Macaca fascicularis: one gene and its partner. The protein of the gene in region 1 purifies or fractionates together with the protein of each later gene. This does not show direct contact. Links are inferred from orthologs where the notes say so. Each region holds a gene or a part of one and is shown on either strand. Other genes may lie near its edges.

Evidence for each region. Proteins that work in one complex are often made in the same cells at the same time.
Region 2: the proteins of FAM83D (region 1) and CSNK1A1 purify together in Homo sapiens (affinity purification with mass spectrometry; 8 studies listed by BioGRID and IntAct, counting the BioPlex papers as one, with this or other methods). This does not show direct contact. The link is inferred for Macaca fascicularis from reciprocal best matches to the Homo sapiens genes FAM83D and CSNK1A1.

What each region holds. Positions count from the first base shown.
Region 1 is NC_088384.1:95,076,666-95,080,420, reverse strand, and holds the end of FAM83D (protein FAM83D), read right to left. Parts: intron 1,913-3,755; coding exon 931-1,912; 3' UTR 157-930; downstream 1-156.
Region 2 is NC_088380.1:156,385,571-156,389,225, forward strand, and holds part of CSNK1A1 (casein kinase I), read right to left. Parts: intron 3,187-3,655; coding exon 3,080-3,186; intron 1,322-3,079; coding exon 1,173-1,321; coding exon of another isoform or gene 1,168-1,172; exon of another isoform or gene 1,060-1,167; intron 1-1,059.

The sequences.
Region 1 (3,755 bases):
AAAAACCTTCAGATATAGATACCTATATACCTTTATCTATTAGATGCATTTATTTGTGACATATTCCCAGATTTAAAGAGAAAAGTGTCAGAGAAGGGGGAAAAAAGTACAAAAACACAAGTTTATATTTATTTAATGCTAAGAACACAGATATTCTAAAGAGATAAAAAGTAGTTTTATTTTTTCTAAATAGGATTTTGATTACAAAAATGCTGATAATTCAAACCTTTAAAGCGGAAAAGCATATAACCTGAGAAAAATGCAAAACATATTTCATCTCTCACCTGAGTTAGACTTAAACACCTAAGCATTCTCCTTAAGAGATTAATACAGTCACGTGTTGCCCAATGATAGGGATACATTCTGTGAAATGTGTTGTTAGGTGACTTCGTCCTTGTGCAAACAGCACAGAGTGTACTTACGGAACCCTAGATGGTATAACTACTACACACCTAGACTATATGGTATAGCCAGTTGCTCCTGGACTACAAACGTGTACATCATGTTACTGCACTGAATACTGTAGGCAACTGTAACATAATGGTATTTGTATCTAAACATAGAAAAGGTATAGTAAAAATACGGTATTATAATCTTACGGGACTGCCATCATATACGTGGTCTGTCATTGACCGAAACATCATTATGTAGTGCATGACTATTAAAATTGTGCAAAAAAAAAAAAAACAAGAAAAAAAAATAAACCTGTATCCATAGTGTTTAAACCGTAAAACCAATACCTGGTACATACATGACAAAAACAAAACAAAGCACGTAAAAGAATATGCAGCCTATAGAATTCAAAGACAACAAAGGTGACAAAGTCAGGTAAAAGAAAGGCAATTAGGGACGTAAGATATTTTTTAAAGCAGGAAGCTGATGATGTCCACTGTAAGCCTGGAAGAAACCAGGAGTCTGAATACGGAGTAGTTACTGATAGGAAGGATAAAGTGCTGCATCTCTAATAGCAAGCAAATTAACTCTGCTGAAATTGCCAGAATGAAGGCCAAAGTGGTTTTCAGTAAAGAGTGTTCTCCTTGACAGCATAGCCAGCATGTGGTTGAGCCGGGACCTGATACCAGCGAAGTGGAATTGCCGCTCTTTGTTCAAGTTTCTAAGTGAGTCACTCAAGTACAGTTCCATGTGGGGGGTGCCCAGGTACTTAGGATAGCCAGGATTGTGGAAGTCAGTGGCTCTGATGGAAGCAGGAGAGCCAGTGGAGCTTGCCACAGAGCCTTGGGAAGACACAGAGGAGGAAGACTTCAAACTGGAAGATCTTGATACAGACATTTTTGAGACTGGTGACCCTTCCGTAGATTGAGTTCCTTGAGGAAAGAGAATGTTCTCATCCATGTCAGTCTGAGTGGTGGTTGACCTGGACCAAACCATGGTTTGAGAGCTTGCTATCCTGGTGGTGACTGCAGTCTGGGTCCCAGCACACGCTGTGGTGATGCTGGTTTGTGTTCCCACCTCACTCACACTCAGCCTTGGCATCTCCTCTCCTGGCTCTGTTTGAGTGGCAGCGTCAATGGCCTTTCTGCTCTGGAGCTCGTCCCTGTGGCTGTTGAAGTAGTCTTCCTCACTAACAGTGGAGGACTCACAGTCATGGGGCTTGCGCTCTGCCTTGCCCTCTGCGGGCATCTCTGGGTCCAGGTCCGCCTTCCTGGGAGTACTGGAGAGCCTAGCCAGCCGCATCCGCAGCAGGTTGCCTAGGGTGAGCTCCTTAGACTGTGGTTTTCGGTCGGTGAGGTGATCAAACTTGTTGCTGCTCTGGAAGTGAGACAGGAGTTTGGGACTGATGGGCTTGGACTGGGCATACAGGATTCGGAACTCCAGATCAAAGTGTTCAACCACTTGGCCAGACAGAATTACCAAGTTACTGCTGTTTAATTTGCCATCTGTCCATGTAAAACTTAAGGATTAAAAAGAAACAAACAGCAGCTGGTAAGGATGAGCAATTTTGGTTTACTCACTGTCCATCTGAATAATATAGCACAGGTATCTTACCACATAAGGGTCACAACTTTGGTGATACAATACCTAACATTTGCATGCATTTAACTAGCCTTAACATATATATAACACATATGTGTGTTACCATAAAAGTAAAAAGGCCAGCTGTTTAACAAACACACTAAATGCTCAGCCTCAGAGGGTTTTTTTTGTTTTGTTTTGTTTTTTTTGAGATGGGGTCTTGCTATATTGCTCAGACTGGTCTTGAACTCCTGGGCTCAAGCAGTCCTCCCACCTCAGCCTTCCAAAGTGCTAGGATTACAGGCATGAGCCACCTCACCTGGTCCTTGCCTCAGAGTTTTTAAAAACTAGAAAGGGGGCCAGGCGCGGTGGCTCACGATTGTAATCCCAGCACTTTGAGAGGCCAAAGTGGGCAGATCCCTTGAGGTCAGAAGTTCAAGACCAACCTGGTCAACATGGGGAAACCCTGTCTCCAGTAAAAACACACAAAAAATTAGCCAGGCATGGTGGTGCATGCCTGTAATCCTAGCTACTCAGGAGGCTGAGGTAGGAGAATTGCTTGAACCCGGGAGGCAGAGGTTGCGGTGAGCCGAGGTCATGACACTGCACACTCTATGACAGAGTGAGACTCCGTCTCAAAAAATAAATAAATTAATTAATTAATTAAAAATAAAAAGTAGGGCTTGTAAGTATTTAGGCCAGCATCCCCATTGTAAGGTAAGAAAACTAGGCCAGCACCCCCATTTTAAAGGTACGGAAACCAGATAAAGGGATTATCACAGTGGGGAGCTACTAATGGACCCCATATCAGGCCCCAGGCCCTATGAATTGCTAATGCCCTGCTCCTTGCTACTGTTTGAGTGGTAACATGCCTTCCTGCCCTCAAGCTTGTCCTTGTGGCTGTTGAAGCAGTCTTCCTAACAGTGGAGGACCCACAGTCATGGGGCTATGCTGCCATTTTCACAAAACACCATGGCTCAAAACATGTTAGAGCTGATTAGTGGCCATGTGCCCTTGCCTGTCCAGTGTCCCTTCCCCGCCTCCCTTGTCTGCTAGCAGAACTCACACCCACCTGTACCCCAGAAAGCTTTCATTATCATACTCTCTCCAACCACAATAGGGGCAGGCATATGGTCCAGACTGGCCAGAGTATCCTATTCCCTCGGATGCAGGGATTCATTCAGGTTGGGCATGTAATCCCACCCGAGCCAAGTAATTTTTTAGAGATTTCTTTTTTCTTTGTCAAATGGATTCTGACAGAAGGGATTGATAGCAATTCTGAGTGAAAGTGTTTCACCCTTTGGGAGACAGCGACTAAAGACCATGTAAGAAAGCCAGGATCTGGCCGGGTGCGGTGGCTCACGCCTGTAATCCTAGCACTTTGGGAGGCCGAGGCAGGTGGATCATGAGGTCAGGAGATCGAGACCATCCTGGCTAACAGAGTGAAACCCCGTCTCTACTAAAAATACAAAAAAAAAAATTAGCTGGGTGTGGTGGCGGGCACCTGTAGTCCTAGCTACTCAGGAGGCTGAGGCAGGAGAATGGCGTGAACCCAGGAGGCGGAGCCGGCAGAGCACCGAGATCGCACAACTGCACTCCAGCCTGGGCAACAAAGCAAGACTCTGTCTCAAAAAAAAAAAAAAAAAAAAGAAAGCCAGGATTGTTGACTTTAAAGGGAGAGCCTACCTAAGAACAAAAATCAACTCGAAAACATCAGAATCAGGAGACAGTGTTCTGATCAGTGTGTGGGTCTTAGGTCAAGGTGAACTGAAAACCAACTG
Region 2 (3,655 bases), on another chromosome or scaffold:
GAGCTGCTGGGATGAGGATGACATGAGTTAATATTTCTTGAAAAGTATCTTCAGGTTAGAATCTATTTTTAAATTATAAAATAGTTTAAATACAACACTAAAAATGTGAAGCAAAGATTAATCTATAAAGGCCAAGTTCAGACTAGAGCAGTCATTCAGAAATTTAAAAATTAGAAACCAAGAGCCAAATCTTACTTGCCCACTACTTCCAGAAAGTAAGCAGGTATCAGGAGGTAAGCCCCAGAAATGGGAAAAAAAACACAAAACATGAAAATGGGAGTCAAACTGTATAGCAACAGTGTGCCCTAACAGTTCTACTCCTTACAGGCAGTAAGAGTGCCAGAGAAAGGAAGAAAGGAAATAGACTAGCGGTTTCAATGGCATTTGCCCCAGTTATCTTCAATTTGCAAGGCCTGACTGCAGACTTCAATTCCACATTAAACCCTGGGAGCCTGATATTTGCAACACTGTAAAAAATCAAGCCAAAAACAAAGGAATCGTTTTGAAATTAAGATCATATGTAGTTAAACTGCAAATGAAAGAATTATTTTGTGACTAGAAAAGATGTGCTGAGCTTTGCGTTTATTTGAGCATTGAAGAGAGAAAATGAGATGCTCTGCAACTGAGAAGATAGACACTTCGGGGGTCATGCCAGACTCACCTCTTGAAATTACGTCATGTTCACAATTTTCCATTTTAAATGCTAAAGCATTAACATGCAAAATAAAAAAATCTTAACATTGTTAGTCTGAAATAAAGTCAAAATATGGCTAACCAAATTCATTATTAGGAATCAACAAGTGTTAGGTCTAGGATTTTGGATTGATTGATTATATTATATTCCCAACACCAAATTTTTGGAAAGGGGGTTAATGAATGAGTAAAAAGGATGCAGTTGTTAAAAAATGACCCAAAATCCCAAGAGAAATGATATAAATATACACACATATATGTATATAGAAATACATATACATATATATGAACAAGGACATTTGGGTTTAAAGTTAGTAGTCAAATTTTCCAAGGACGTCTTTTTTTTTTTTTTAACACAGAGCCAAATTTTATGTATTTTAAAACCACCTCCTTGATCTAACACTGTTAAAAATGAATGAATTACCCAATTTTGTATTCAATTTTTTCCCTGTAACGTCACTTGGTTCTTGGCTACTAACCTTTCATGTTACTCTTGGTTTTGTCAGTTTGCTTGCCTGTGGGGGTTTGGGCCTGCTGACCCTGCCCACTGGAAGAGGCTGCCTGCTGTGCTGCTTTCTGCTTTAACATTGTCCAATCAAACGTGTAGTCATATTGATGGTTCAGGGTCCTGGAAAACATAAAATATTTTATGTTAATCCTTTAATAACAGAGTCCAGTTATATAACCTACTAACTTTTTTTTTTTTTGAGACGGAGTCTCGCTCTGTCCCCCAGGCTGGAGTGCAGTGGCGCGATCTCGGCTCACCGCAAGCTCTGCCTCCCGGGATCACGCCATTCTCCTACCTCAGCCTCCCGAGTAGCTGGGACCACAGGCAACCGCCACCATGCCTGGCTAATTTTTTTTTGTATTTTTAGTAGGGACAGGGTTTCACCATGTTAGCCAGGATGGTCTCGATCTCCTAAACTTATGATCCGTCTATCTCAGCCTCCCAAAGTGTTGGGATTACAGGCATGAGCCACAGCGCCCGGCTTTATAATCTACTAACTTTTTAAGACAGTGAGAGCATTTCTTCACACAATGAATATTTCCTCAAGTGTGGCAGCTTCTAAAATATTTCTCTTATGTATAAAAAAGGCAACATGAAAACTGAAACATCAAGTCAAGCTGTCAGTTATCTACGGGAATACTCGTAAGAGGAGGTACTTCCTAAAAACAAGTAAGAGTAAATATTCAACTGGAAGTTTGGTTATAAGATGTCTGACTGGTGCCTTGGGAAGACACTTTTCTGGGGTTAAAGGATTACCTCAATTCTCTCTCTCTTTTTCTTTTTTTTTTTTTTTTTTGAGACAAAGTTTTGCTCTTATTGCCCAGGCTGGAGTGCAGTGGTGCAATCTTGGCTCACTGCAACCTCCGTCTCCCAGGTTCAAGCAATTCTACTGCCTCAGCCTCCTGAGTAGGTGGGATTACAGGCGCCTGCCACCATACCCGGCTAATTTTTGTATTTGTAGCAGAGACGGGGTTTCACCATGTTGGTCAGGCTGTTCTCGAGCTCCTGGCCTCAGGTGATCCACCCCCATCAGCCTCCCAAAGTGCTGGGATTATAGGTGTGAGCCATTGTGTCTGGCAGATTACTTTTTGTTTTTCTCTCTTTTTTTTTTGAGACAGAGCCTCACTGTCACCCAGGTTGGAGTGCACTGGCGGGATCTCGGCTGAATGTAACCTCCACTTCCCAGGTTCAAGAGATTCTCCTGCCTCAGCCTCCCAAGTCGCTGGGATTAAAGGCGAGCACCACCTCACCTGGCTAATTTTTGTATTTTGATGGGGCTTCACCATGTTGGGCAGGGTGGTCTCGAACTCCGGACCTCAAGTGATCTGCCTGCCTTGGCCTCCCAAAGTGTTGGGATTACAGGCGTGAGCCACCGTACCTGGCTGGATTACCTCAATTCTTATTCTCTTCCAACTAAGAGTTTGAGCCACATGTAATCTATTTCCCCCCCGCTTTTTCAAGACCAGTTCTGGGTTGTGCCTAAGGAACCCTACCCGAGTTTAGGACTGCTACCACTTGATTAGACTCCATGACTATGTGATATTTTAATTGCTTTTCTATTTGGTACTGTAACAAAGTTGGAGAGTTCCAGAAGGCACTGACAGCCACTTATATCTAATATGAATTATAACTATTCTGGAAAAGTTACATTCTACTTTGAGTATGATTCAACTCTCTATCCACTCCAAACTAAAATCACCTATTTACACTGCAAATAGAAAAATGCCAAATTAGTCCCAAATAAATCAGTTTCTTAAATCTTTTATTCATGTTAGTCAGATCTGCTTTACTTTAGTATTTATCAGAATGAATTTGTTAGGTAAATTTAACCAATTTCCCTCACAGAGTTTATAATCTTAAAATACCTTAAAAACTGACCTGAAAAGAATGCGGAATAGCTGCCTCAGATACATGTAATCTGGGGCTTCCTCAAAGCGTAGCCCACGACAATAGTTTAAGTACATGGCAAATTCTGCAGGAAACCCCTATAAGTTCAAGGGTTAAAACAAAGTTAAAAACAAACATTTCAAGATAGAAAAATAAATGCATTTAAGTACAAGCAAAAAGATATTTTTGGGTGAGATATTTTACCATTTCACAGGAAGATATGAGAGCTAAAATGATGGCTTGGTCTCCTCATAAATTTAAATAAAATTTCATGACTCTACCTACCCTATTATGTACAATATTAGTAGAAGAAATACATATGCTTTTCCCATATGTGCTTGTCCTATACAGTACTATGTTCTTAAATAACTTACATAGCCCACTTGTTAAAATTTGTCATTTCATCAAAGCCCCGCCTCTTCATAAACTTTTTTTTTTTTTTTTTTAAAGACAGGGTCTCAATCTGTCTCCCAGGCTGGAGTGCAGTGGTGTAATCTCAGCTTACTGCAACCTCCACTTCCCAGGCTTCAAGCGATCCTCCAACCTCAGCTTCCTGAGTAGCTACCA